Regions from separate parts of the Mus musculus genome. Here regions 1, 3, 4, 5 and 6 are each reported to be linked to region 2. Evidence: microRNA targets listed by miRTarBase, many of them from high-throughput screens and not tested one by one. Region 2 holds a microRNA gene; each other region holds the end of a gene's coding sequence.

What was found. Region 2 holds the annotated microRNA mmu-miR-706 (AGAGAAACCCUGUCUCAAAAAA, at 2,265-2,286, opposite strand). A microRNA usually pairs through its seed, bases 2 to 8, with sites in the 3' UTR of a target mRNA and lowers its output. Matches are read on the target gene's strand: a 7mer-m8 pairs with bases 2 to 8, a 7mer-A1 pairs with bases 2 to 7 and ends in A, and an 8mer does both.
Region 1: the mRNA of Dcbld2 is a reported target of mmu-miR-706. Seed matches in the 3' UTR shown: 7mer-A1 at 842-848, 8mer at 1,881-1,888, 7mer-m8 at 2,744-2,750, 7mer-m8 at 3,408-3,414 and 7mer-A1 at 3,694-3,700.
Region 3: the mRNA of Otx1 is a reported target of mmu-miR-706. Seed matches in the 3' UTR shown: 7mer-m8 at 4,190-4,196 and 7mer-m8 at 3,487-3,493.
Region 4: the mRNA of Mrgprb1 is a reported target of mmu-miR-706. Seed matches in the 3' UTR shown: 7mer-m8 at 2,751-2,757.
Region 5: miRTarBase lists Ramp1 as a target of mmu-miR-706. Seed matches in the 3' UTR shown: 7mer-m8 at 1,201-1,207.
Region 6: the mRNA of Ehd4 is a reported target of mmu-miR-706. Seed matches in the 3' UTR shown: 7mer-A1 at 525-531 and 7mer-A1 at 1,329-1,335.

The regions. Positions count from the first base shown.
Region 1 is chr16:58,465,435-58,470,508 of GRCm38, forward strand. Dcbld2 (discoidin, CUB and LCCL domain containing 2) reads left to right here. Exons shown (of 16, transcript NM_028523.3): 16 at 1-4,311. The coding sequence ends at 355. It overlaps St3gal6 (ST3 beta-galactoside alpha-2,3-sialyltransferase 6), which reads right to left. Exons shown (of 11, transcript NM_018784.3): 11 at 4,308-5,074. Among named protein-coding and RNA genes, the nearest start is that of Gm33475, 8.0 kb to the right of the region's middle.
Region 2 is chr6:120,032,026-120,037,099 of GRCm38, forward strand. Mir706 (microRNA 706) reads right to left here and starts at 2,286; the gene lies at 2,203-2,286. Wnk1 (WNK lysine deficient protein kinase 1) reads right to left here. Exons shown (of 28, transcript NM_001199084.1): 1 at 4,849-5,074.
Region 3 is chr11:21,991,570-21,996,643 of GRCm38, forward strand. Otx1 (orthodenticle homeobox 1) reads right to left here. Exons shown (of 5, transcript NM_011023.3): 5 at 3,195-5,074. The coding sequence ends at 4,671. Among named protein-coding and RNA genes, the nearest start is that of Gm32517, 4.4 kb to the right of the region's middle.
Region 4 is chr7:48,442,898-48,447,971 of GRCm38, reverse strand. Mrgprb1 (MAS-related GPR, member B1) reads left to right here. Exons shown (of 2, transcript NM_205810.4): 2 at 1-3,859. The coding sequence ends at 862. Among named protein-coding and RNA genes, the nearest start is that of Mrgprb1, 11 kb to the left of the region's middle.
Region 5 is chr1:91,222,700-91,227,773 of GRCm38, forward strand. It overlaps Ramp1 (receptor (calcitonin) activity modifying protein 1), which reads left to right. Exons shown (of 3, transcript NM_016894.3): 3 at 407-2,497. The coding sequence ends at 662. Among named protein-coding and RNA genes, the nearest start is that of Ube2f, 25 kb to the right of the region's middle.
Region 6 is chr2:120,086,492-120,091,565 of GRCm38, reverse strand. Ehd4 (EH-domain containing 4) reads left to right here. Exons shown (of 6, transcript NM_133838.4): 6 at 1-2,079. The coding sequence ends at 418. Sptbn5 (spectrin beta, non-erythrocytic 5) reads left to right here and starts at 2,653. Exons shown (of 67, transcript NM_001370938.1): 1 at 2,653-5,074.

The DNA.
Region 1 (5,074 bases), not on the chromosome of region 2:
TCCAATGCAGGAAGTGTACCACGCCTATGCTGAACCACTGCCCGTAACGGGGCCTGAGTACGCAACCCCGATCGTCATGGACATGTCAGGGCACCCCACAGCCTCAGTTGGTCTGCCCTCCACATCCACCTTCAAAACTGCAGGGACCCAGCCTCACGCTTTAGTGGGAACTTACAACACTCTTCTCTCCAGGACTGACAGCTGTTCCTCAGGCCAGGCTCAGTATGACACCCCAAAAGGTGGGAAGTCAGCTGCTACCCCAGAGGAACTGGTATACCAGGTGCCCCAGAGCACCCAGGAGCTATCAGGAGCAGGAAGGGATGAGAAGTTTGATGCTTTTAAAGAAATCCTTTGACGGTGGTGCTGCTTTCTGACAAGGCATCCATTTAAAGCACATGGCTTTTTTCATTCTTAGTGGTAGTGATGTAGAATGTATTACGTATCTGTCACTGAAGTGGTTAGGGGAATGTGGTGACCGAGGTACAAGAAACTACTTGCCTTGCCATCTTGCTTTAAAGGGGTTACTGTGTGACACAGTTACTGCTCGCCTGCTACATGTCAAGCGTCCTGTTTGTTACTACTGTAAAACACTATTTTTAATACAGAAACAGAGCTCCCTATAATGCACTTCAGAGAAACTGAAAATCACTGAGTATTTATTACCAATGCTGCAGGTACATTAATGAACTTGAGGTGGTTCTGTAAGCCTTGCTGGCAATAATGCATGGTACTGTTCTTGAAATACCGAATGGCTTGAAATTCTCCCTTTGTGAAAGTGGGTACTATCACGCGTCCCTTCTCCTTTAATCCTGTAGTGCCGTCTGCATTCTTTTTTTTTTTTTTTCTCACATCCATCAGTGATAAGCATTGCTCTAGCTGTGGCCACATACACTTCTCTGTATTTCCCTAGGAAGGTGCAGAGTTAGAACAGCCTGCCTTGCGGTGAGCTGGAGGACTGACTCCTTGTTTGATGACACTTTTAACAGTATTGACACCGCCTCATACAGGGCTTGGTCTCAGCTCTGCTCATCCCTGCCACCCTTGGTGGCCTTGCTCCAACCTGTGTTCATAAACCCTGGCAGCTCCTATCCAGCAGCAGTCACGGGAAGCCAGCCCTTCCCATCTTTAAGTATACTTCTCCACAGGGAACTGGGAGAGAAGCAACTTACGATGTAGAAAAGCTATAAAGGGAGTCCTCTGCGTCACTAAAGTAATCTGTAAATTACTTTAGGGACAAAGTTAAGGGGGAACTAAAATTTAACCTTCTTTGCTTTCTTTACACACAAGCCCAAAAATTTGCAAAATTTTTTTTAAATTTCAATTAAATTTTTAAATTTAATTTTAAACCATTGTAAGAAAAAGAAAGCCAACATGAGCCAGGTCTGATGGCTCAAGCCAGCAATCCCAACTGACCCAAGTGGACCCCCAAGGTCAGTGCTTTATAGTCTACAGAGTGAGTTCAGGATTAACCTAGGCCGCTCATGGGATAAGGGGTGGAGCTCAGGCTCCGGGGTTTAGTGCTCCAGTATAACAAGTTCAAGGTCATAGGTTCAATCCTCTCTACTACAAAAAGAAAAACGGGCAACAGGCGTTCTCCAGGTCTGTGTGATTTCTGCCTTCTGTCTGGGGAGACACTTAAGTGGTCCTTTGTGTCAGACCTGGTTGACAGAGATGCTGTGCGATCGGAATTGTGTGGAATCCTTCCCAGCAACTTACTTGTCAGTGCTTGACAACCGGGCTGCACTCACGTCAGGTCGGGTAAATTAAATGTTACAGCGGATTAGCACTGAAGCAGCACATCGGATGAAAACACAAACTTGATCCCTCGCCACAAACCTGTGTGTAGGTTTAGAGTACACTCGGCCTTCAGGTCCCCAGCCGTTTCTCAGCTTGTACCATCCTGGTTGTAGACCTGCCACACTTGTCTAGATTTGGATAGCCTTGAACAGTGTTAACTGTGCTTCCTTCCACAAGTACATCAGCGTTTTAAAACGTCGCTCTGCACTGGTGGCAGGCTCTCTGCCACCTCCTCAGACAGTTTGCATCGCTTTCATTATAAACCGCCTTTCGTCTTGCAGAGTCTCGGACACAGTCTCTCTCCTTGTTGAAAAAAATCAGTGCACATTTTGTTTCAAAGTTCTTATGAAGCAAAAAAAAGCACAGATGCTGTACTAAAACATGTAAGAATGTGTAGAGCACAAGATGCAGTTGTCCTCTTTCAGGTGGGAACAAAGCAAACCTTTAGCTGTTTCATTTTCGTTCACGCTTAGTGGGCAGAGGGTAGCCTTTTCTTTGAGTCACCTAACCATTGGAAGCTTTAAGAGACCCTTTGAAGATGAAGTTGTTTTCCCAAAGAAGCCTACTATTCTAACTGTGTGTCCCAGAACTGTTTCAGAACAGAGTGAGGCCATGGTTGTTGATGCGTTACACATTGTGAGACTTGACTCCTATGGCCACTGCTCTCCTTGCACTCTACCAATGGTTTTCATAACATACCTAGTTATTGTTATATGGTTTTCTCTTGCAGATAAAGAGCTGAGCCTGATTCAAATGATTTTTTTTTTCTGGTTTTGTACTTTTCCTTTTAATTTTTTGTATTATAGATTACATGTCTGGTAAATCTTTGGAAGACAATCAAGTAAAATGTGAAAGTAACCATTGCTGACCAAACCCCTTGGTTATTTTGTTTTGCTTTAATTCTTTGCTTGAGATATTCAATACTTAAGTCACTGTGGCTTAGTGGGTTTCTCTTTTCCTGATAGTACAATTGATTAGAGACAGCAGTGTGGCAAGGGCAGCCTTAGGAGATTTCAGAAAAGTTACACTAACTTGGCTGTCACTTGATCCTTGGAACCAGCACAGATATTATGAATTCTGCTTTGCATTTATTTTAAATGCTGTTTATAGATCGTAGTAGTTCCTGTTGAGAGTAACAGGACTAGTCCAGTTATTTAATTCATGTTTCACTATTTGCACTTTCCACTGAACAGTGGGTTGATTTGCTGTTCACACACAGAATTTATCCAGTAGTTACAGCTATCATGTGTTCTGTGTATGCTCCTCCTCCACCTGCCCCCAGGGATGAAGCAGTAAAAGTGCTTGTAGCCATTTCCATGCCTTGGCTCCACGTTGTCACCCAGAGAGCAGTAAAGGGAGTAGGAAAGCAAGATAGAAAAAAGACAGACAAGACCACTAGAACGAACCCAGAAATTATGGGGGGGTGGGAGGTTCCAAATCCTCTACGGAGCAGAACTAACGGGGCTCCGCTGTATGGAAAGGAGTTGTTAATTCTACCTTTTGGGTTGAACTTGAAAGTCCTTGAACTGCAAAAACTCTAGGAAGTTGGATGGTTGTAGGGTATCTAGGTTAACTGTGGCACCAATCTCAATTAGACCATTTTGTGTGTAGTTTCTCTCGTTTCCTGTGTTTGGCACTGGGAATGGTGAAAATAAAACTTACTCAAGTACAGAAGAAGTGGAAGTGGCTGAGTGTCAGTGATATTCCCCCAGAATGTATTTTTCTTACCTCGGCATGTACTGTAGTCACTTGATATTTGTATATGTTGCTAGAATTTAGGCTGTTGAAAATAGTGAGATTCTAATGTGTTTTTAATAAATTATATGTGTGTGTCTTGCTCAGATTTTTTTGGATTAAATAAAACAACCTTGACATCATAGTCCAGAAAATGCCAAATTTCTCAAAGTTGACAACAGTCACATTTTATGACCAGTATTATAGTGGGTATAGATAGCATCATTGGTCCCCCTGCCACTGTCCCTGCCGGCAACTCCACAACCCTCAAGCCTACCTTATGGAAGTGAATCTGGGCAGCCCAGCTCTGTGTGGCTATAGAGTAAAGGGGCACACCCCATCAGCATGGAGAGCCAGCCAGTGCCAGCGTCCCCATCAGTTAGGTGCTGGACACTGCCAGCATGAGCTACCCTCACTGTCAGACCCCTCCTATTTACAGTTTGTCAGTATTTCATTTATTCTTTTTCTGACATTTCACTCTTTTTATTTTACACACAAACTCTTTAGGGAGGAGGCAAATTGATTGCCATTATCACCAGCGTTTCCAATAATAACACTTCCTGTTTGCTCTCCTCCCATTCTACCCCCTTTGGTTGTGTCTACTAACAGTTGAAAGGTGGAACTTGCCTCGCAGGCCACCATTTGTTTGTGTTTCTTCAGATTTTTCTCTCATGTGCCTGAAATGACCACTGAATGTTTCACTGAAGGTGAAATTTAGTCATGTGAAATAGGACATTTTTTTCCCTATACAAATAATAAAAAAAAAAGCTCAACTCTTAAGGTTTTACTTGCATTGTTTTACTCTTAAGATTTTCTTCATAGAAACATTTAAGGTTTTCTTCTTCCCACAGGTAGGCTCACCTCTGAGCTCAAGTCTAGTCTGCACTACATTGTAGTTCTAGGCCATCCAGCACTACATAGACCCTGTCTAAAACGAACAACAAAAACTTTGTAGTTTTGAAAAATGATGCTAGAGGGTGCAGCAATTGGCACATAGCTGTAATCCCAGTACTTGGGAAGCTGAGGCAAGAAAACCAAGGTCGAGCCTAGCCCAGGCTACATAGTAAGAAGCTGCCCCTCCCCCCACCCCTTCCAAATCAAAGTCTCAGGATGCTCGTTAGAAGAGCGCGCTTTCCAAGCATGCAGAAGGCTATTTTTTCCTCCCTCACAGCAAATTATTACATTATTACTGGTTTAATTAATTGTAAAGAGAACTTAATGAAACCACAATGGACACCACGGACTTACAGGTGATTCTCGTGTTCTGCACCTGGCTCCCAGTCACATGCCCATGAGTAAGCAATCTAAATCAGCAGTTCAAAGTGATACGTGACTATCAGCACGGGCGAAGTCCACTAAATCTCCTAGAACTCTTTAAGATGAAGGAACTATGAGAAGGTATTTTAAAACACCTCAGAGCACTAAAAAGATCACATTTTAAAACAACATAATCAAAACTTCACATTTTTCCCTGATATCTTAACTAAAAATCTTCTTGTTTTTTCATAAATATATTCACAGAACTTTAGCCGGTGGTTACAAG
Region 2 (5,074 bases):
CTGTGGTATCAAAATATTACCTATTTATTATTGAAAACAATTTGGTAGATAGCTACACATACTGTGACTCTAAAAATAACCTAACAATAGGAAGTTTAATTTGTACACCCCACGCATTCATCCTCCAAAGTCTAGATCCCCATATGAAGTGATAAAAATTAAATTTGTCATTTATTAGAGAACTTTAGAAATCCTGACAGCCACTTCTACACAGAATTAGTATAACTTCATTTGAAATTAGTATTACTAATTAGCTATCTACTGAGACTACAAATGTAGTTTGGGGTTTTGTTTTTGTTTTTGTTTTATTTGATCAGTTGTTTTTAGGTTTCTCTGTGTAGTCTTGGATTTTCTGGAAACTCACTATGTAGACCAGGCTGGCTTCAAATTCAAAAGATCAGCCTGTGACTGCCTCCCAAGTGCTGGAACTAAAGGCATGTACCACGACAGCCTGGCCTTTCTAAAAAACAAAAATTTAAATTCTTCTTGATTCTTCAGAGTGTTAACATGTATACACAAATATATCCACCACCATTTCTCCCCTCCAAGTCCTTTTATATGCCCCCAACACATACTCCTCAACTCTTTGACTCTTTAAAAATAGCCTACTAAATCCAATTTGTTGTTGCATGGATTTGTGACTGCCCATGAGAAACCTACCAGTTGGGAACAACATGATAAAAGATAATGATTCTCCCTCTCAGAGAAGCTACAACTGCCAAAGACTCCTTAAGATGGGATAGGCCCTGAAGAGCATATCTATGCCAGAAATTTGGCTGGCAAGTTTTATTTTAGTAACCACAGTTGTTTCCTTTACCTTTTCTGGACTGAACCCAGAACTTTGTAGCTATTAAACAAATATTCTAACACTGCACTAAAGTACTCTACCATTGAACTGTATCCCCAGCTCTCTTCTCTTTCTGACTCTAGTTTTGAGTTAAGGTCTCATTTTGTTGTTCAGGCTGACCTAAAATTTACTCTGTAGCCTAGACAGGCCTTGAACCTGTGATCTTACTGTTTCAGCCTCATTGAATAACTAAAATTATAGGCCTCTGCTACCAGGTCTAATTTGTAATTGCCTTCAATACCTTCCAAATTGCTATATCATAACTATTTTAATGTTTGTAATTTCTTAACCAAAGCTAAATTACTTAATGCCCTATGATTTCAGGTCCTTATTTAACAAACAAGTAGGTGGGAGAGATAGCCTGATTTTATCCAATTTTGCATCTATTTATGTAGGTACACATGTGCCACAGCAAGAGTGCAGGGGTCAGAAAACAACTTTCACAAGTTGGCTCTCTCCTTCCACAATGTGGGTGCTATATTGAACATCAGGCTTAGTGGCAGGGGTCCTTACCTAATGAGCTATTATTTCCCAAAACCCTTCTAGTTTTAATACACTAAAAATTTTAAAGCTAAGCATGGTAGTACATGCTTAAAATCACACTGCTAGGGAGATAATGTCAAAGGGGTACTTTTTTTCCTTTTCTTTTCAAAGCTTTACTTATCCTTAGGTTTGACCTTTAATTTGAACCCAAATATTTTGATCTAAAACAAAATGATATGGGCTGGAATGATATGGCTCAGCAGTTAAGAACACTGACAGCTCTTTCCAGAAGTCCTGAGTTCAATTCCCAACAACCACATGGTGGCTCACAACCATCTGTAATGGGATCTGATGCCCTCTTCTGGTGTGTCTGAAGACAGAAACAGTGCACTCATACACATAAAATAAATAAGTCTTTAAAAATAAATAAATAAAAATAAAAAGTAAAAGCACACATTTATAAAAAGCCACATGGTGGCTCACAACCATCTGTAATGAAATCTGACACCCTCTTCTGGAGTGTCTGAAGACAGCAACAGTGTACTTATATATAATAAATAAATAAATCTTAAATAAATAGATAATTAAATAAAACAAATGTAATTGAAGAATTGAATTCCTGGATCAGTAATAGATCCTTGGTACAAAAATTCCTATAAATCAGTTTCATCTAAATTATTGAGTATGACTGCCCAGTAGGAGGAGAGGCATATTTTGACAAGTTTACCAAACAAACAAACAAACAAACAATGAAGGTAAGTTTGTCTGGCATGGTCCTGTAATACCAATACTCCAAAAGCTACAGCAGAAGAATCATGGATTCAAGGCCAGCTTGGAGTACACAATGAGTCTTCACAATATAGGGTAAGGGAAAAAAAAAGCCATCTCAAAAAACAAAATAAACCTACTAAAAGTAATTTTGTTTGTTTTTTTGTTTTTTGAGACAGGGTTTCTCTGTATAGCCCTGGCTGTCCTGGAACTCACTCTGTAGACCAGGCTGGCCTAGAACTCAGAAATCCACCTGCCTCTGCTTCCCAAGTGCTGGGATTAAAGGCGTGTGCCACCACACCCGGCTAAAAGTAATTTTTAAAAAATACCTGTCACGGCCAGGCAGTGGTGGCACACGCCTTTAATTCCAGCACTTGGGAGGCAGAGGCAGGCGGATTTCTGAGTTCGAGGCCAGCCTGGTCTACAGAGTGAGTTCCAGGACAGCCAGGCTATACAGAGAAACCCTGTTTTGAAAAAAACCAAAATATTAAATAAATAAATAAATAAATAAATAAATATTTGTCACATTTCCAACTCTTATCAGTTATAAAATTAACAAGGGGTAATTTTTTTTTTGGTTATTTTACTTCATTAATGTGCTTAGAAGTTCCATTTTAAGTGTTGAACTCAAGGAATTATGTTCAAGAACTTGCCAGTTTCATGTTTGCTTCCACATGCTGAGTTAACGTTCTTTCACATTTTTAAAATAAAAACAAAACGAACACTCATTTCCAATGGTGAAAATAAATTTCAAGCATATAGAGAAGTGGAAGAGAAAGCTTAATCGACTATCTTTAAGTGAACAATCATATGCTGATAATTGTTGAAGCTGGGTAATTGCTCACCTTCACTAGATATTTAGAAGCAAACTCCATTTTTTTTTTTTTCTGAGACAGGGTTTCTCTGTATAATCCTGGCTGTCCTAGAACTCACTTTGTAGACCAGGCTGGCCTCCAACTCAGAAATCCGCCTGCCTCTGCCTCCCGAGTGTCGGGATTAAAGGCATGCACCACCACATAGAAGCAAATTCCAAACATTATTCCTTTCACATTTCAAATGACCTTGGGACATTTGGAAACCAAGCTGTTTATTAATTCTTGGGTAAATCAAGTTCTGAGATTATTTCAGTTACTTTCCAATCCTATTTCAGTTTGGTCCATTTTCTTGACAAGAAATCAGTAGTGGCACTTTCATCTATGATGTAGCTGAAATTCTGCTTCCACCACAAATACATGCTCATTTCTGGATGTGAACAAGTGCTAACAAACCAATATTTATATAGATGCTTTATAATAACATTTATTTATCGCTATAATATATATTATATTATATTATATTATATTATATTATTTATATAAATATAAATTTATATAATAAATATAATAACATTTATTTATTGCTATAATTCAAGCAATTAGTAGTCCAAACTAATCTAGCATATACCTGCACTTTATTTATAACCTGAAAATTTCCCTGAGATTAAAAAAAAAAAGGAAGGAAGGAAGAAAGCACTGTAATCCCTCGGACTCTTGGGAAGTTTCATTTAAAAATCTTTTATATCCCTGGCATAGTGGCATTAACTTATAATTCTAATACTCTGGAGGCTGAGGCAGAGGGATCAACAAATTCAGGACAGTCTGGGCTATACTTTGGGACACTCACAAAAAGTCTTTTATAAGATATTACAACAATGATGGTATTATCACAACTTTCAAAGCACTTATACAATTTTGCATGGACTTTTACTATTCACTATGGACTGAATAGGATGAAGACAGACTAATGAACAGTGTCAGATCACAGCTAGCCATAAGGCTTAAGCACCTGTAGGTGGTTATATTGGTAGGTATATACTGTACCTTCCTACTCTGAAAGCACTTAAAGGGAAAGAGAGTTGGGAATCAGGGACTGGGTGGTTGTTTTGATGGTGGTGCAAGACTTTAATCCCAGCACTTGGGAGGCAGAGGCAGGTGAATTTCTGAGTTCGAGGCCAGCCTGGTCTACAGAATGAGTTCCAGGACAGCCAGGGCTATACAAAATCCTGTCTCGAAAAAACCAAAACAAAACAAAACAAAAAAGACAGTGTCTCACTACCCAGGCCAGACTGGCCTTGAACTTGAGGCTCTCCTGCCTCGACCAATAGAGTAAGTAGTTGGGATTTCCAGGCATGCCTTTATTAGCTACTATGCTATGATATTCTGCTATCAAGAAAGTTGTTCCTTAAAAGTACAGGGTCTTGTCTAACAATCAGATTTTAGAGATGGAAACACACAAGGCAGTTCATTATTGCAGAGGCTTAGAAGAGAATGAAGTGTACAGGAAAAAAAGGTTTGATATTTACTTAAAGCAAAAGAAAAAAAAAAAATTCCCAAAGGCTGAGGATATATTTAGCTCAGTGGGAAAGCACTTGTCCAGGCCCCACTTCTTCGATCCCCAACACGAAGGGAAACCCTTTTCCAATAATTCCATGTCTCCTGCCTGACATTAAACACACAAGTTTGTACTTAAATGACTCTTTTTACCCCTGGCTGATAACAATCCTTCTTGACACCAATAGTTCCTATCTTTTCCAAACACCTAACTAACTACAAGCTCCACAATCTCCCAATTTCAACCTCTTTGGACACTAGTCTTCCCGCCCTCTCAGAGTCAGAGAATTACAAGTAAAGAGTGAACTCGACAAACTGGCTTAACAGAGCCAAATTTGGGATCCAAACGACCGAATAAGAAAAAAGGGGGTGGGGCATTACCTGCAATTCACACCAGGCGACTTCCACAGTGGTTTCGGTGTCCAGACCTTTGTAGACTGTCTTAAAGGAGCCTCTGCCGATTTCGATGTCAAATTTGAGAAAGCGACCGTCATTGGACATTCCCACTGCCTTGGTCTCCAGCTCTTCGATATCATCCTGTTGCTGGCTCCTATCCTCCTGCGCCTCTTTGGCGCTGGCGCCACCACTGCCACTTCCACTTCTGGAC
Region 3 (5,074 bases), not on the chromosome of region 2:
GATATCCCCAACACTTATCTAAACATCTTATTTATTTAAGATAACTGAGGTAACTTCCTGTGGTCAAATAAGACATTCATTATTATACAATATTATTTAAGTTATTGATTTTCATTATTGTTGATCTTGAGACTTTTCCATTTCCATGAGATTCTGAACTTTAAGAAAGAGGGAGGCATAGTGTGGAAAACAAAGTCACATGTAACTTTTCTGCCTTTAAGTTTTTTCTTTCTTTTGGGGTCCATGGGGGAGCAGATAGGGAGTTGTTTGGTTTTGCTTTTTGAGATAGGGTCTCCTGTAGCCCAGGCAGGTTTTTTTAACTTACTATGTAGGTGAGGTTGGCTCTGAACTCCTGATCCTCCTGTGTCCTGCCCTCGAGAGCTGGGATTATAGGCTTATGTCACCAAACCCCACTAATTGGGGAACTTTATAAAAATATCTTATTGCTATTCTTAAATTGATTCTACATCAAAAGCCAAGTCATTTTCTGGTCATGAATAATAATCATGCAAATTCTCTTTACCAATAATGTATGTATTGGCTACAGTTGTATATCAGATATATTCATTTCTTCACCTTTAAACACAACCTTGACATCAGACATCTTTGACATCATTAACATTATAATTGAGTCTTCCAGTTAGTAATGAATTTATCTCTTATTTTTTAAATAAAAAAAATCACAATAGCCATGGAGAGTGCTATTTTCACAAATTACAAGGTGTGTGTGTGTTGGTGGTGGTAATTTTCTTTTTAAACTAAAACTTGATGTTTTGGTTTGGTTCAGTTTTGGTCTCTGGACTACAGCAGGTGTGAATCTGCTGACACTAATTAAGGTTTTTCATCTTTTTTATTCCCAAATTCCCGCCACCACCATCACCACCACCCCCCGCCCCCCGCCCCTCGATCCTTTAAGGCTTTTCTAAGAAAGAAAGAAAGAAAGAAAGAAAGAAAGAAAGAAAGAAAGAAAGAAAGAGAGAGAGAGAAAGAGAGAGAGGAAGAAAGAGAAGAAAGAGAGAGAGAGAGAGAAAGAGAGAGAGAGAGAGAGGAAGGAAGGAAGGAAGGAAGGAAGGAAGGAAGGAAGGAAGGAAGGAAGGAAGAAGGATTTGCACACACATTCACAATTGAAATATCACCTTCTTCCCAACCCTCTGTAGCCAATATCAAAGCCAGACAAGCCCTCCAACAAGCCATCTTATTCCCGCGACTCTCCTCAGAGTTTCAGTGGGCCAAGAACTCACTGAGGTAGCCCAACTGTCGTGCCCAGAGCCCTTACCCATGTCCGCCAAGAGCAGGCCTTTCGGCCCTCCGGGGCGAGCGGACAGACACGGGCTGCACTCGGGACGCGTGGAGATTTCGTTGAGCTCCCAGGCCCTGTCCGTGCTGCTCCGTGCTCCAGAGTTCGGGCTCCAGAGACCGCGTAGTTCTACCTGGCGTCTGCGGGCTCCAGCCCCTGACGCGCTTTCGGCTTTGAGAGAGGTGTGACCCAAGGACGCTCCCAGGCCCCCAAAACTCCACACGGGCGACCGCGGCCCGCTGCCCCGACGGCCCGCGCGCGTTCCCGCGGCCGGAGCCTGCGCCCCGGCGCGCCCTCGGCCCTGCGCCCCGACCCAGGCCCAGGCCCAGGGGGAAGCACGTGCCCGCTCCTCCTCGAAGCCTCCTGTTGCAGGCGTGCTCGGCGGCGCGTCTGAGCGGGGACAGCCGAGGCGTCGCCGACGCTCCCACCCACACCGGCCGGCTCTACCAGGAAAGTTCGCGAACCACCGGGGCCAGTCGGGCAAACTGACAACCGCGACGAACCCGAGGCCCGCCCACAGGGTTCGTCCGAGCCGCGGCTAGGCCCAGCCTGGCGGGTCAGGGCCTCGGGGCCTCCAGACCCCGTGGAAGCGGCTGCTGCTCAGCCCCGGGACGCCTAGGGCGGGACCTGTGGGGAGGACCCGGCGGCCTCCTGAGGCCTCCGCCCGGACCTCCAGCCCCGCTTCACGCGAACGCCCGGGGCCCGCGGGCCAGGGGCCACGGCGCACGCGGCAGGGAGCAGGCCCAGAGCAGCCTTCGCGGGGGCGGCTGGCCCTGCAGGGATCCCGCGCGCCCAGGCGGCTCTCCCTCCGCCCCGGGGACTCAGTTAGGAAGCTTGGGCCGGAGCTGGGAGGCCGAACCCTAGGCCGGACACGGCGGGGACGGCTTCCCCGTGGCCAAGGCTCCAGTGCCCTGCCGACCTCCAGCCCCGCGCCAATCTCACGGACTAGAAGCAGGGGCTACCGCTGCCTCCGCGGGCAAGTTTTCGTTGTCTCCTGATTTCCTCCGGCCCGTGGGCAAAGCGCGGCTTCTGGGCTCACCTCCACAGGAGCCGTCAGAACAATCTGGACAGTTCTGGACCCCGAATTTTCTCGGGCAGCAGACGTTATTAATACACTTTCCCTCCACTTTAGTCTCCCAAGTCCCGTCCCAGTGGCCGAGCTAGGAAGAGTAGTACCTACAAGCCCTTCTGTCCCCCCAGACGGAAGGCGAGCTGCCCTCTCCATTCATGGCTGCAGGCCGGGCATCTTCTCCTCTGAGGAAGTGAAACTCGCACTGGTCAATTCGCCTTTGTCTGCTTTAACGAAACTTTACGAAAGATAGATAAATAACTGGACCATTTCTTGTGCGAACTAATGGTTTAGAAAGACTCCTTAGCACGAGGTTGGGACTTAGGATCCCACAGTCACCGTGAAGCCACCGGGAGACGCTTCTCCACTGTAGGACACAGATTTTTTTTTTTTTTTTGATCGTTTTGTTTTCCTTCTTGGCTCAGCTCAGAGAGCATTACACCCGCATCCTTTCCCGCCTCCCGACCCTCTTCCCCTCCCCCTTCTCCCCCTCTTCATTCTGGTGCTGGCAATTAGGGTGAAGAAATCAGTGCCAGGCTCCTGCCTCCGAAGAGAAAGGAGCTGTTTCTGGAATTGAGTCCTGACACCTGTCTCTGTCCTAGAAGGCAAGAAGGCGCGGGGTCAAAACATTGAAGAGGGAGAGGCCGGGCCGATGAGGGGGCACTCCCTAAAAGAACGTTTTGGGGAACTCCCCTTGCCATGACTTCCCGCCTTATTCTTCAGCCTCCAGCTTCGCGCAGATCATTAACACGCGGGTTATTAACACAGATTTCCTCCCTTTTAATCCCCTGAGACCGAGACCCGAAGCTGGAATTAGAAGAGCAACGCTGACAAGCCACTCATTAATTTGCTTTTATTTTCGGGAAATAATGTAGATAAAGAGGAAGAGGAGACGGACTGCCTTACATCTCAACAAGTAATTTGTGATCTTCACATCGGACAAATCAAATTTACAAATTACTTTCCCACCTACTGAACCAAGCGGCCAAAACCAAAACCGATAGGTACACAGGTACTCTCCGCAGATTTCGGAGAAGGAAGGTTCACTAAAAACTCACAGAACAGACAGGGTGTTTGAGAGAGAGAGAGAGAGAGAGAGAGAGAGAGAGAGAGAGAGAGAGAGAAACATTGGACCTGGAACTCGGGCTTGGTTTTCTTTCCACAATGCTGTAATTTCACCTTGTTTGTTTGTCTGTTTGTTTCTAAGCGGAAGCTTTGATACTGTGCTTAGACTGGCGAAGGGTCAGTCGTGCGCCCTGACCAGCCTAGCCCCGACCCCTGTATCCTGACTTAGCTGTTTCCTTCACTTCCGATCCTCTAGCGCCCAGCTTCCTGGAACCAAGCGGGTTTCTTTAATAAATACACAAAGGGAGGTGTGAAGAGGGCAGGACAGCTTTGTAATAACTGAAAAATAAGAACCACCATCGTTTGAGGAAGAGAGGAACGGGAACAAAGGGGAAATAATTTTTTTGCTTCTGTTATATATATATGTGTGTGTGTGCGTGTGTATATATATATATATATATGTGATGTATATATTTTAAAGTTCTGTTTCTTGGACGCTAAAACAAGAGAGATGCTCAGTTCAACCAACAGCAACTAAAAACTTTAAGTGGTCCCTGGAACGGACCTGACTATGTACAGCATTCCCGCTGAGGCGGAAGCTTGAATCAGTCCAGCGCAGGGTAGGAAAGGAGGCTGGGGCACACTCCTGCCGCGAGCCTGGCCCAACGCTCACCACTGGTGAGACAGAAATGCTGGAAGCTCGGGCCTGCGGGTGGGGAGCTAGATCAAGGGCAGCTGAAGGGGCGACAGTCTGCTAGGAGAAACAGTGGAGGGTTTGATTAGGAGTGTGTATGTATGGACACACTCCAAACGGTTGATATACGCCAGTTAGTGACTTCAGTGTCCAGAAAGAATAAATAAAACGGTTGAGCTCAAAACAGAGGGTCAGAGCGAAGAGCCCCAGAAGGCTCCAGGTGCATAAAAGCTGTCCAGAAAGACTTGAAGGGGTGACGCACGAGCTGAGAGCGAGAGCGTACTGCTATTCCGGGAAGAAACGGAGGGCCAAGTGGGAGCACCGGGCCCCACCTCCAAGGGGGAGAAGGGCTGCATCCTCCACCCCCAACCAAGTGGCACACAGATGGGAGCGGCAGTGCAGGCAATGAATATCTTTTGGGGGACTGAAAATTAAGTTTTGGAAAAGCCAAGGCAAAGGCGGGTGGTGCAGCAGCAGCAACAGGATGGGGACCATGGAGGGTATAGGTAGTTGCGTTTCTTCTCCACTTCCTTTCCCTCCTGGGCTCACAAGACCTGGAACCGCCACGAGGCTTGGTCCTTATAGTCCAGACAGTCGGGAGAGTTGAAATTGAGTTTCCAGGCAGAGGAAGCAGCGGCGGCGGCGGGCTCCTTGTAATCCAAGCAATCGGCAGAATTGAAGGCGAGCCCAGAGCCTCCATAACCTTGGTGGTGGTGGTGGTGGTGATGGTGGTGGTGGTGGCCTGAAGATTGGCTCAGTGGGTGGTGCGCATGAGGGTGATGGTGATGATGGCCAGCCATGGAGGAGGGTGCCATGGGGCTAAGCTGGTGCGGGTGGTGATGAGAGTGCATGGGCGCTAGGTAGGAGCTGCAGTCTACACCGCCAAAGTAAGAAGAGGAGGGCGCGGGGTATCCCTGACCATAGCTTCCGCCCTGGCCATAGGACATAG
Region 4 (5,074 bases), not on the chromosome of region 2:
ATGGTTTCTGGGCTTCCAGATGAGCAGGAATGCCTTCTCTGTCTACATCCTCAACCTTGCTGGTGCTGACTTTGTCTTCATGTGCTTTCAAATTGTACATTGTTTTTATATTATCTTAGACATCTACTTCATCCCCACTAATTTTTTTTCATCTTACACTATGGTGTTAAACATTGCTTACCTTAGTGGTCTGAGCATCCTCACTGTCATTAGCACTGAACGCTTCCTATCTGTCATGTGGCCCATCTGGTACCGCTGCCAACGCCCAAGGCACACATCAGCTGTCATATGTACTGTGCTTTGGGTCTTGTCCCTGGTGTTGAGCCTCCTGGAAGGAAAGGAATGTGGCTTCCTATATTACACTAGTGGCCCTGGTTTGTGTAAGACATTTGATTTAATCACTACTGCATGGTTAATTGTTTTATTTGTGGTTCTCTTGGGATCCAGTCTGGCCTTGGTGCTTACCATCTTCTGTGGCTTACACAAGGTTCCTGTGACCAGGTTGTATGTGACCATTGTGTTTACAGTGCTTGTCTTCCTGATCTTTGGTCTGCCCTATGGGATCTACTGGTTCCTCTTAGAGTGGATTAGGGAATTTCATGATAATAAACCTTGTGGTTTTCGTAACGTGACAATATTTCTGTCCTGTATTAACAGCTGTGCCAACCCCATCATTTACTTCCTTGTTGGCTCCATTAGGCACCATCGGTTTCAACGGAAGACTCTCAAGCTTCTTCTGCAGAGAGCCATGCAAGACTCTCCTGAGGAGGAAGAATGTGGAGAGATGGGTTCCTCAAGAAGACCTAGAGAAATAAAAACTGTCTGGAAGGGACTGAGAGCTGCTTTGATCAGGCATAAATAGCTTTGAAGAGAACTATGTTTTTATCACTTTGTGGCATTTTCATAATGTTGTTTAGTTGATGACCCAAGGTTAACTCAGTTGGGGAAGTAGTCAATGTTGTAGAAGTTGATTGATATTGAACTTGTTATAAATACTGAGTACAGTATTTTTGCAGCTATCTTGCTCAGAGCTTTACCAACTCCATTTGATGGGACTCCTTATAAGCTCTATGGGGTCCAGGAGAGGTGTTGACCACAATTGACAAATCCCTCTTCAGAAGAAAACTCAAGAAAGTGCAATGAAAAGTTATATTTCTTTGCTCACTTAATTTGATAGTGGTTAAATCCTTGTTATACTTTGCAAAAAAAATTCTGTTTTAAAACAAACTTTTTCCAATAATGAAGGGCTAAATAGATAAGTAATAATCACAGAACTTACTAATTTCTGTAGGTTTTAATAAATGTATGATCATCTTTCTTATATAAATTTCTTAGTAAAGATGTAAACATTCTCAAGAGAAGTCTGTTAAATCACTATTCTCCCAGTGGATTCCTCACCTTCAAGTTCACTATCTATTCCATTTTCAGCATTGGAAGAGTGTGCTCAGTCTAATAATGTGATCCATCAATATCCATGCTCATGAAAAGGTTGAGAGTGTCTGTCCTCTTTTCTTCCTTTCACAGTGTCCTACTTAGCTTCCCATGGTTGAGTGTTGACTTTGTCATGATTCTCCTTCTCTCTGACTCTTTCCTCATGATATTTTTCCAATCAGGTCCTCTATAACAGGTTCCCTTGATATCAAACTTGTTTTAAATTTATACCATTTCACGAGCGAGTAGCATCTAAAAACTTAATTATGTAATGTTAAGTAAAGTTTTCTATAAAACAGTATTTCAATTTTAAAGCTGCAGTGTGTGATAAATTCAATTAAGAGGATAGAATATCAACAGATTAATGTAAAAAAAATCAGGATTTTAAGTTAATATAGGTATAAAACCTAATCAAGACACAAAACACTCTCTTATATTTCTTAATTTTTATTTCTCCTCCAGTCAAAATTTTTTGTCAGAGGTAAATATGCTGTCCATATTTTTGTTGCAAACTAAAATTTACAGTGCAAATTAAAGATTGTAGCATGATGTTTGATATACATGTAGCTAAATGGTTGTTATAGTTGAACAAACTAACATATACAGCAGGTTATGTAAATATTCATTTTCTCCTTTTGCTTGGCCCAGTATTTCCTCACCATGTCTCCATTCCTCTTTTGGAATGGATGGTAATGTACGATCTGTGCCTGTGTATGTGGGAAACAAGTACTGTGCTTTTTTTATTTGACAAGGAGTTACAATTAAGAGATTGCCTTGAGTATCATAAGAGACTTTTGACTTTTAAACTGTGTTTGTACTGTGAAAGACTATGAGAACTTTTCAAGTTGGATTTAGTGTGTTTTCTACTGTGATATAGCTACAAATTTACATGGTCCAAGAACTGGAATGTGGTGGTGTACCTGAAAAATTTCCTCTACAGTCTCATTTTGGAATTCTTGGCCCCAGATTGGTGGAACTGTTTGGGATGGATTAAAATGTGTGTCCTTTTTGGAATATATCTCAGTAGGGGTAATCTTTGAGGTTTCAAAAGCCAGTACTATTCCACATCAGCCCTTTATCTGCCTCAAGCTTGAGAGTCAGATATAAGCTTCTGGCAACTGCTCCATTGCCATGCCAACCTGTCTGCCTCTTCTCAGGCTTCTGGCTATGAGGGTCATGTATTCCACCCCATGAGAATTATGACATATCTTATGAAATATTTTGTATGAGTAGACTTTGTTATCACAGCAACAGAAAAATAATTATGAAACTTTCTTTTACTTAATATTTTAATTCCTTTTTTCGTTTTTCGAGACAGAGTTTCTCTGTATAGCCCTGACTGTCCTGGAACTCACTTTTTAGACCAGGCTGGCCTCGAACTCAGAGATCCACCTGCCTCTGCATCCCGAGTGCTGGGATTAAAGGTGTGCACCACCATGCCTGGCTGTTAATGTTTTTAAAACTATGTTTTTCACCTTCTAAGAAAGATTTGATAAGAAGTGCATTATTTCCTTATATATAGTCATATATAGTCATTATATAGATACTAACACTTTAAAGTACATTCTACTTCCAAATGAAATGATGTCATATATTTCTCTTTACATTTGCTTCCATAATGCAGCATGACATATATTAAATTTTCAACATGTAATAAATAACCTGATACCCGGGTTCTTAACAGTAGAGTAATCATGTTCTGTTTGTGACTCCCGCAGTTTCACAATTGATTCCTTCATTGTTCCTTATCTGACTTGTTCCTCTAGCTTGAATATTGTGAAGCAAATATAAAGACATAACAATGTTGCTACTAGATGCCTATTTTTAAATAAAGCCATGCCAGATTAAAATGAAATGATGGACAAAGATATGTTACTAGGATACATGCTCTCCCTTATTTTCTGGTCTTCTACAGTCTTTCTGCTTTCCTACTCCTCAATGTTTTCTGAATATCAGGTGTGGGAGTCATTTATACATGTATTCCTTTTAACTGGGCTCCATACATCTACATTTTTTTCTGATTTTCCTTAGTTTTCGTTGTCTTTGTTACAAAGAGAACTTTTCACAATGAGAGGTGAGGACTACACTTAGATGTGGGTATAAGGACAAATATATAGAATGAACTTAGGAATTATGTTAATGAATACAGCAATGGTTGTAGATTTCCCTCCAAAAATTCATAACTTCACCAGCCCTGAATAAATAGCTAGGCTTCCCATGTCACATATGATTTCCCCTTTTGATTACATGTTAAGTCTAATTGGAGATCTGTTGATTACTACAGAGTTATGTGAGGTATCTGTGCAGCCTTAGGATTATTATGCCTTGATAGCATTTGATGATATTTGTAGGCATCATAACTGTACATGACTACTAATCACTTCCTTCCTTTAGAAGCTTGCATGGTATGTTCTGGTACATGAATGGGAAGGCACTTAAATCAACTCCAGCTCAGATGTCTTTGGACCCTGTGTTTGGAATACATGGTGTCATCAGCAATAGGTACTTAATTTCTACATCCGAGGGGCAAGCAAAGGAGACAGCAATATCCTCTATGCTTCACTAGTCTCTCTTTCTTCTAAATCTTTATATTAATTTTCTAAGTCTATATTTCTAAGTCTTTAAATCAAACTATAAGTCTTCCTATTTTAGCTTCTGTATTATACTGTGCCTAATTAAATAGGTGGAGTATTTATGATAAGACATGTAGTGGTTTTCTGTTTAGGAAAAACACTTAAGATTCAGGGAACATTAAGAACAATGGAGAAGAAAGATGGTAATATCCAGAAGACCAGATGTCTGCACCTAGATAGAGTCTTCTAGACATGCCAGGGAGGCTGCACCCACACAATCTCAACAATGTCAAAAACTCTCAGTAATCTTAAACAAGACCTGCATAGTGATAACATCAGTACACATGTCAGTGTAAATATGGAAATCTCACAAGGATTCATCCCTAGATGACATTGCTACAAGCAATCAGTGGCTACAGCAATAGAGAAAATCAGTTTTCTTCAGGGATGAGCCATCCTTATGTGTTACTAAATCTAAAGTGATCACACTTAAACTTATACGTGACATGTAGTATGAGCATCAGTAAATAGATTAAGTTGCTTCTATACATGTGCACACACACACACACACACACACACACACACACGTGTGTGTGTGTGTGTGTGTGTGTACGTGTACAAGTAACATAATATAAAGAAGAAAATGTCTTGAATTTGAGAGGAAGTGGAGAAGCAGAAGAAGAGTTGTGGGGGAATGATGCAAATATGGTACTCATATTGAAATTCTCAAAAATTAAAAATAAAATAGTATACTTCATGGAGTTAAGAGGTTCTTGGCAGCTGATGAATGCTGGAGAGGGAGACTCATTTTTTTTTTTGTGGGTATGAAAATGGTAGGTAGGTTGTCTGAATCTTGGCAATGATGCCCCACATATGCACATATCATTAATATCAATTGGATTCATTGGATTGGAAAATAGGTAAATATGAGAGTGAAATCTTTCATTGGGAGTCACATACACCTAAGCCTGTCCACATGAGTTCCAGTTTGGAAACTTATACAATGGAAGAACAGAACTGATTGACAAACAGTGCTCTCATCTTCAAAGGTATACTGTGGATGTGTGCAG
Region 5 (5,074 bases), not on the chromosome of region 2:
AATATGAAAGAACTCCAAGGACTTTGCCTAAGCAAGCAGGTCTCCCTTAGATCCTGGCTCATAACATCTGCTTCCCCCACATCCCACTGTCATTGAGTCCTGTAGGTGACCAGCTCATGGGGACCTTTAGGTAAGCTGTTAACAGGAGCATGAATGGCCACAGGGCTTGTCAGCTTGGTCCTCAGTCTTATGGCCTAAGGCTCTAGCTGGCACTGGGCACCTCACCTTCTGACAGCTGGATTTCTGGGACTGGTGTGAGCTATCTAGGGTCCTCACCTGCCAGAGCCAGAACTCTGCCTTGAGGCCTGAGCTTTTAGAGTGGGGGAGGGAAAGGACTGCTTTGCCTCTGTCCAGACAAAGCTGAGTCCCAGCTGGGTCTCCTGACAACCTCTCTTTGTATCCACAGGAGCTATGGGGAGCTCACTTACTGCACCAAGCACGTGGCGCACACGATTGGCTGTTTCTGGCCCAATCCGGAAGTGGACAGATTCTTCATCGCTGTCCACCATCGATACTTCAGCAAGTGCCCCATCTCGGGCAGGGCCCTGCGGGACCCTCCCAACAGCATCCTCTGCCCTTTCATTGCGCTCCCCATTACGGTCACGCTGCTCATGACTGCACTGGTGGTCTGGAGGAGCAAGCGCACAGAGGGCATCGTGTAGGTATCCCAGGTGATGAGGGATTGGGGAACCATGGGCCTAGCCCAGCAACAGCATCAGGAGCAGGTCCCACCTTGCATCCTGCTCTAGCCTAGTTAGCACAGGACTTGAGAGTGGCTCTGCATTAAGCTGAATATGCCCTAGCCAGAGGCTTCTAGCAGGGGAGCAGGGGCCTGCCTCTGCTTACCTCTGAGATTGTTCTAAGCACCAGGTCTCTGGTACACTTCATCACCACTGTGGGCATTCTGAACTCCAAGGAAGACTGCACAGATGTGTTTGTAGATGCACAGTTTGTGATTAAAAGAGTATTCTTAAACCTGGGAAGTGTTCTGTCTGGGTACAAATAACCTATACAGGAAATCAAGCCACTCGTGGAGATCTGTCTTTTGCTGAGGAGTTTATCGCAGGGTCTCTAACCAGATGACACCCAGTCAAAGATCCCCTGAGTTTGTTGAGGGGTTCCCAAATGATTCTGATGCCCTTGGCCTCTACTGCATGGTCCCTGCTTTCTTTTTGCCTTTCTTGGGTTTTTTGAGACAGGGTTTCTCCATGTAGCTCTGGCTGTCCTGGAACCTGCTCTGTAAACCAAACTGGACTTGGACTCAGAGATCCTCCTGCCTCTGTCTCTCAGGTGTGCACCACCACTGACTGGCACAGCCCCTGCTCTTAGTACTTGGAAATAGTCATGAATTAACAACTAGCGAGAGAGAATGCCTACCGTGAGCCAGAAGCTTCGGCTGAGTAGCACGTGAAGAGGGTGCTGTCTCTGTGTCCCTTCCCTAAAGGTCACCCTGTCTTCTCTGAGAAACCCTAGTGCATAGGACAAGTGAAGGCCAAGAGGTGCCAGGGATGTGACCTCCTCCTCCACTCAGCACTGTCCCTTCTGTCCCTGGGAAGCCATGGACAGTAGTGACAGCATTAATCTGAAAAATAGGGTTGAGCTATGGCAGCGTGTGCCTGGAATCAAAGCACTTTGGGGTGTTGAGGTAGAAGGATTGCTGTGAGTTTGACGTCAACCTGGGATTTATAAGCCTGTTTATAAAAAAAAGAAAATGAGGGGGAAGGGTGGGGAAGAATGAAGAAGAGACAGAGGAAAAATGCAAAAGAAAATAAGACTGGGCTCATTTGTGACCTGAACTGGAGACCAGAGACCAGCCTGCCTTCCCGGACTTTGACATGGAAATCCAAAGGATGGGAAAACAAGACATGCATAAGTCACAGAATCCAAAAGCTGCAAGAGAACCAGGGAGCTGACTTGGGAGATGAAGCTGACCCAGTGCCTCGTTCCCGGAACTGCGCATACTAACAAGTTCTCAGGGTTTCCAGTAAACCAAGAAGGCTGGGGTTTGAGGTCATCTGCAGAGCGTGGCCATCCTGTGCTCAGCTAAGCAGGGGGACAGGCAAGGGAGCAGTGAGCCCAAGACCCCTCACACATGACCCCTCTCACAGGATGACTGCTTGTACACCAGCCTTCCAGGGAAGCCTGGTCCGCTGGGAGTGGATCTCCATCCATTCCTCAAAAATGAGCATTAGCGGTATCCTCCTGAAAACAAGTCAGAAGTGTGGAGCAGAAGTCTTGAGTGTCTGTTTGCAGTCATTTCTCTTGTAGGAACTCATCCCAAGTACATAATTACCATGTGCACAAGGGCCCGTGGGGACCAGGAGCGGAAGAGAGGAGACACCCTCGATGGTCCAACTGGAGGACTGCTCCATCAGATTAACTCCAGATGATGGAAGGCAATGGTTTCCTTAATGGCGTCCTTGGGGGTGGGGGGGGGGGGTTCCCAGTGTGTGCAGTTCATTGAAAATGCAGATTTTAAAACAGGAAATCAAGGTGACCTTTATGCTGTGTTTGTTTACACACAAAGTTCCTTTCCCCAGGCCACATTATATTGGGGGGACGTCCTGTAATAGGGCTCTCAGAAGACAGAACAACACTCTCAGTTCTGCATCTGGCTGCCACCGTCCCAGCGGATGGGCATCACTTCCCGGTGAAGGGTGATATGGTCAGACCCCAACTGGCTGTTCTAGCTGTGTGTACTTGAACAACTAATTCAGCTCTGGTAGCCATGGGGGAGATGACCTGGCATATGCAAGCCCTCTGCCTTATCCCAAGGATGGTGTTTGATCTCCTGAAAGACCAAGTGGCCAGTCAGAGGAGCCTCATCCTTAGGGCAAGGCAGGAAGCATGTTCCCAAGGAAAAACTAGCAGTGACCCTCTCCCTCTTTCCCACCTCAAGGCAGGGCTGCTTTGTGTAGCCCTGGCTATCCTGGAACTATCACACACACACACACACACACACACACACACACACACACACACTTTTTTTCTCAAGATAGGGTTTCTTAGTCCTGACTGTCCTAGAACTAGCTCTGTGGACTAGGCTGGCCTTGAGCTCACAGAGAGATCTGCCTGCCTCTGTCTCCTGCATGTGAAACACATTTAAAAAAAATTCAGAACTTATGTGTTTATGTGTTTGAGCATTTGGCCTACACATATGTATGTGCACCATAGGCCATTGGAGGTCAGAGTAGGTATCAGATGTTACAGATGGCTGGGAGCTGCCATGTGGGTGCTGGGAACTTAACCCAGGTTCTCTGCAGGAGCAGTGAGAGTGTTTAACTGAGCCATCTCTCTAGCTCGGAGAAGCTTTTCTTGGGGGGTTCACCTGTGTGGTGAACATAAGAAGACCTGCAGCCCATCATTTTTAAAACTATTCAAAACAGCAAATTCCTTATGGGACTAAGCCTAGACGGGCTAAGGGGTTGCCGACTTTACTCTGTCTATTCACACGTTAGAGACAGAAAGTTCCGGAGACAGGCAGCTCGAAAAGTGATCACTCTTCTTGAACCCACACCAGCCACACTTCGTGCCTAGCCACCCACCGTGCAGGACTTTCTCCAACACGCTGTCAAGAGTCTGGGGAAACTTGTTCTCCGGTCACCCCTGGCGTTAGGGCAGGAAGTGGGCAGGGTAGCTGGATGTCAAGGGCAGGTGGCAACTACTGTTCGTGTTCAGTACAGGCTGTTATGATCATGTCTGCATTCTACACATGCCCATCCCATCTAAGGCACAGAGACACGTGGAACTCCATGTTTAAAAGGGAGAACAAGGAGATGGCTCAGTTAGTCAAGTGTCATGCAGGCGTAGAGACCTCAGTTCAAACCCCTGATTCCATAATAAAAACAAAACAAAACACAAAGAGGCTGGGAGGTGCCCACTGGTAATCCCTGTGCAGGAAAGAAAGAGACAGGTGACTCTCTTGGGCTCACTGGCCAGTGAGCCAACCCAAACCAATGAGACTTCCATGTGCATATCTGTGGCGTGTACAAAGGCTTCTAGCAAACAGCCTGGATCGAATCAGACGCCAGCTGCAGTGAGGAGGCAAGCCAATCAAATCAGAGGCCAGCTCACCAGGGGAGAAGCAAACCAATCAAATCAGAGGCCAGCTCACTTCTGCCAGTGGGACAGCAAACCAGTGGCTCCCTGCCCCTTGGTTTCCTACCTACCAAGGGATGACTATGGGCCTTACTTCAGTATTTGCAAGGAGAGCCCTTGACTTGCCCCAGCACTTCACAAACGTTCTGTTCACTTTGGCCACAGGGACTCAACTAGGCACAGGGACCTGTGAATGGACAACTGCAACTGTGACTGACAATGCCCCACGACCACCATACACGCACACACACAAACACACACACACACACACACACACACACACACACACACACACACACTTCTGCCTCTCGATATGTCCTTTTCTGTTATCCACAGGCTAAGCGGTGAGTGGCTAGAGAACACTTACTGGCGGTAACAGTAGGAACTACCAAGTGGACACTTTCTTCCCTTCTGCATAAGACCGGAAACACTCCCTGGAGCTGCATCACCTCACAGGCCCCAGCTTGGGAGAAACTTGCTTTCTCTCAGTTCTCCAGGCTGGAAGCCTGACCTCCAGGTGTCAGAAGGCTTGGCTCTCCCTCTCTGGGCTTGCAGATTCCAGTCATGGGTTAGGGCCCACCCAGTGACATTGCCTGGCCATAATTACCTCTTTAAAGACCCTCCCTTTAAGTGGGGATCTGAGATCCTGGGACTTAGGGTCTCAGCATATGAATTTGGGTTGGGGAGTAGGGGGGCGGACAATTTACCCATGGCAAAACCCTGTCTCCCCAACGGCCAGCTGGCTCACTGCAGCCAGTTAAATCGGTTATGGGCCGGTGTCACAAATCTCCATGAAAACTAGGGGTAAACAACTCTGGCCAGAAGTGCTGCAGAGACATCATTGCAAGAGGGAACAAAAACCTGCTTCTCATCAAAGCCCATCAGCACACATTCTTGTTGGGAAACGCCAGGCTCAATTAGGAAGGCGGGTGGTGGGGAGGGTCTCCGGGGAGACTCCTCGGAAAATTCCAGAACC
Region 6 (5,074 bases), not on the chromosome of region 2:
GGAGATGAACATGCCCACGCAGATGGTGCAGGGCGGCGCCTTTGATGGCACCACAGAGGGGCCCTTCAACCAGGGCTATGGGGAGGGGGCCAAGGAGGGGGCCGATGAGGAAGAGTGGGTCGTGGCTAAAGACAAGCCGGTGTATGACGAACTCTTTTACACGCTGTCACCCATCAATGGCAAGATATCGGGTGTCAACGCCAAGAAGGAGATGGTGACCTCCAAGCTGCCCAACAGTGTCCTGGGCAAGATCTGGAAGCTGGCCGACTGCGACTGCGACGGCATGCTAGACGAGGAGGAGTTCGCGCTGGCCAAGCACCTCATCAAGATCAAGCTGGACGGCTACGAGCTGCCCAACAGCCTGCCCCCACACCTGGTGCCCCCCTCCCACAGGAAGTCCCTGCCAAAGGCTGACTGAGGGCCCACAGCTGGGGTGGGAGGGGTGGTGCCTGGGCCTGAAGTCTGCTCTGCCACTGACTCGCTGAATGTCCGTGGCCAAAGTTCCGTCCTCTCCGTGACTCGGTTTTCTCATATGTAGGGCAGGGAGGGCAGATCCCGGACACTAGATGAGGTCTTTATGCCTCTAAAATCCTGAAGTTTCTATCAAAATATTGAGAAGAGCAGTATATAGATATGGAGATCAAAGAATAAGAAGAAAAAAAAATTATCCAAAGAAGAATGTAGGTGTGACACAGGCTGTCGAAGTCTGGGCACTCAGGGATTGAGCCAGGGACTCACTGGAGCCATCAGAGCTGTGCTGGACAGTAAGTTACCATGAGCCTCTTTGTCCTTCAGGGGGCACTGAGAGGCAGCAAAGGACCTAATTTATTTTTCTTACTGTGTTTCCTGCTCTATCTAGAGAGGAAAAGGAACAGAACAGAGAGTTTCTGCCTTCCATAGATTAAAAACCAAAGAGAAGACTAATACCCAGGTTTGAAAGAGGATGTGCCATGTCTGTGTGGGCCCATCTGCAGTCCCCATCAGAGTAGGCAGCCAGGCAAGGAGAACCTGTCTTGTCCCAGCACCTGCTGCCTGACCCTGCCAAGCCTCCCTCAGTTAGGAATTCATAATTCACAAACTGTCAGCCCCTGGCAAGACCTGTGTGCCCTTCAACCACTGAATGTCCCCAAAGCTTTTTTGGTAGGTGGCAGAATTTAAATTCAATAAAGCTTGTCTTGATTTGTGTGGAGTCCCAGAGCCTTCGGACCCAGGTAAAGCGAGAGCAGCCCCATCCTGAGCTGTGAGTGGAAGAGACCAGCGCCCTGGTGATTGATGATGTTGTTTGATTTTTAAAGAAAGAAATGCATTTCATTGTGTCCAGGTATGTTTTTCTCACAAGATGTAGCCTCTCTGAAGAAATCTCTGTAATACCTTTTCTTCCAAGCTAGACACCTCACATCAGGAGTGCCTATCTGGGCCAGGATTGGTCTACTTCTGCCTCTTCAGTGTTCTTTCCCAAGCCCACCTAGTCAGGCGCCGCAGGGGCTGCCTCCTACTGTACCCTGCTCTGTGGCCCAGCAGAAGAACACTGTCACCATCACTTACGAAGTAGGAATCACAGCGCAGCAGTGACCACATGACCAACAGCAGCAGAAATGAATGAATCTGAACAGCATCCCTGAATCTTCACAAAAACATACTCCAATCCCTAATTGTCTGCATCTGGCAACCTCAGGGTCAGAACCGGGGATTTAAGAGAAAATGCTAAGAGCTCACACCCATTTCGCAGCACTTGGGAGGCAGATGCAGGGGGATTACCATGAGTTCGAAGCCAGTCTGAACTACATCGTTTGTTTTATGGTAGTCTGTGTAAAACAGAATACTTACGCCACCATTCACACTTCCTATCTTACTTTCTAAATAATGGTTTTAAGAGAAACACAGTGTTTGCTTTACTCTGAAAGCGTGTTTTTATTAATTGGACACACACAGGTGAATGTTTGATCCCGGGGCTGTAACTGTATTTGTGTCAGTGTCCATGGAGAGGTGATGCCTGGGAGGTCTTGACTTTCCTCCTAGTTGTCTTCTGCTTTCTCTGCACAGTTGTCATATATCTACCTAAATATAATCACAAATGTATGTCTCGTGAGTCTGTCTCTAAAATGCGTCCGTATGTTCAATGTAGATATGGCCAAGTCACTTCTGTACAGAGCCTCAGAGGAGGCCTTTCTAGGGACAGCAGGCTAAGATTTCTGGGATCTGCCTTCCCACTCCTCTCCACCTTCTGCTGGGAGATGCCTAGCAGCTAAGCTTGCTCTGACCTGGTGATGTTCTTGAACAAAAAGAAACCATGGGTCTACTTTTGTTACATTCTCTTGTTCTTCATAATAACTTTACCAGAAGGAAAAAACAGAAATGGTGATAAAAATAAAAGATTGTGTCTTCTCAGGACCAATGCACAGTTCCTAGACTGTTCAAATACTCCTCCCACCTCACACATACATTCACTCTGTATTGCCCCATCCTCATGTCGGTTTTCTGTGTCAGAGAAATGCTAGACAGAATTCAGTTTCAAGGAGGGAAAGTTTAAATTGGCCAATAGTCTGAGGTTATTCAGTGCAGAGGTCAGCTGTGAGCTGGGGATGAGGCAGAACACCATAGCAGCAGGAGCACACGGCAGAGGAGGTGGTTGCCTCTTGGCAGCCAATAGCAGAACCCAGGACGGGGTCTTTAAAGGTGCACCTCAGTGACCTGCTTTCCTGTCTTCACCTTCATCTGTGGATAAATTCAGAACCCTTATGATCCCATCACCTCTCTACTGACCACGCCTTCAGACGTTTCATATGTAGCCCACCATAATGTATCATCCTGGTTTTCAAAGAAGCCACCTCAGAGTGTTTACACACTGGGGAAACACACACCTACTTGTGCTCTCCCTGGTTCTAAAGAGCCTATTTGTAACTACCACACACATTGGATCACAAGACCCTCTGCAGGTGAGGGGAAGTAAGTGCTTCCGCTGGGTCCTGCCATCGTCACCTCCCAGTGAAGCCCTGCTGAGCCCAAGGAGAAAGAAACTGCACTTGGGCTTGTTGAGGGTTATGTAGGCAGATGGCCAGGTAACCTACCGGCAGGACCCCAAAACAGCCTGAGTCTATTCAAGTCATCCCTGGTTCAAGAGTGTATCAGGCACATAGTATTTAGCAATGTAAATCACACAATGCCTCTATCCTTTAAAATCTCATTTAAAAGTGTCAATCCCCACTGCCACTAGCTTCTTGTAACTGTGTCCACTTTTTAAGAGGTAAGTGGTCCCTTGGGTCCATTTTCAAAGGAGATGCAAGAGTCTAGAGAGGTATACCTCTTCTCCATGCCATCCCTTGTGACCCTAATTCCTCCCTCATCCTCTCTGGGAAAGAGGTCTCGTACTCCACTCGAGAGGTCAAAAGCCCACACTGAAGGACTGTGAGTAGTACTTGGGGAGGGGGGGTGCACCTCAAGGTCCTGTGCCTCTCAGGTGTATACCACCTGCAGAAGGTGTTGGGCTTTTCCTCTGTCACCCATGTACCCTTGTGAAGATGCCAGCCTGGACTGTCATTTAGCACAACATATTTTTTTTATTATCATCCAGAGGCATGAGGTTAGGGTAGAATAGACTCCTCCCCTCTTTCCTGGATGGATCCAGATTAGTTTAAGCCAATTGGAGTATTTCATTCCCCCTAGTCACAGATACCAGTTCAAAAATACATGTGTTTTCCTCATCCCATTTTCAACAGGTACCACCCCAGCACTTAGGAAGATGTTCCACATAGTCCCTCTGGGCTGGCAGAGAGGAGGTATTGAACGAGGCATAGGAAACCCAGATCTGCAGTAACAATGTTTGGGATGCTGGAGCAAACAGCACCTGAAGTCCTGTTCCTGCTAGATTGTTTTCAGTTACGGCCAGTTCACCCATCTGTATGTATCATTCAGTCCAGCTCAAACAGAAAGTTCAGTCTCTTGGCAAGGATTTCAAAGACCAATTGACCTTTTCACCAAGGGCTTCGTCACTCACTGCCAATGAGGAGCTGCCCCTTGTACAATATGCATTGGCTCTAGTTGCTGCTGAGCCAGGGGAGGGGGCATGGGAAGGAGAGCAGTCCTCTAATCCTGTCCAACAATATCTTATTTAAAGATTGATTGTACTTTATGTGTACAAGTGCTTGTCTGGTGTGTGTTCACTGCCTGACTATCTGGTGCCTTCGGAAACCAGAAGAGGGCACCAGATCTACTGGAACTGGAGTTGCAGATGGCTGTAAGCCTCCTGTGGTGCTAGAAACAGAATCCAGATCCTCTGGAAGAGCAGCCAGTGCCCTTGACCACAGTCCCATTTCTCCAACCCCACATCTAACAACCAAACAGTCACCTCTGCTTAAACCTACCAACAAAGCATGGTACAGTTCTGTCTGACCTCAGATCTCACAAACCTGGAGGAGCTGAGGCCAGAGCCCCTCAAACCCAGAAGGCTTTCCCGATGAAGCTTTCCCTTACAGATGAGACTGGGCACCTTCAGGGTGCTATGGCTGAAGACAAGGCTTTCCCTGCAAAACAGGAACTGGGCCTGGAAGACTGTAGCATTTCTTCTAGAATATTCCTTAGAGCTGATCAAAGTCTGGGGCATCAGGCAGCCCATGCAGAGGGCTTGTGCTGCAGTCAGGAAGAGCGAGCACCTGCCCCGGTGGTTACCTATAACTAACTGAACTTGGGTCCCAGTCTCTGAGATGGTTGTGTGTGAATGTCTGAAGACTGGGGTGAGGGTGGGGGAGCCTACAGCACCTCAAGGAAGTGTCCCTGTGGCCAAGGCTTTTGAGAGAAGAGGTCAAGACTACTGACAGGAAGCCTGTGGGAAGGGGTTGTTGCTCATAGAGGAGCTATGAGCAGGAGCTGCTTCCCTGGGTACCTTCTGCCACAATAAATCTGTCATTGGCTTCTCAATACTTAGCTAAGCTGAGCTTGTGGCCCAGATCTATTCAAGACCTGGGAATCTAAGCCCAAGACACTACAGCTTCCTGTGGCTATTCCTAGTTAGAGAGAGGCTGTCAGACGGCTCCTTCAATCATCCTAGGATGGGTGTGGAAGAGAAAGGGAGTCTACA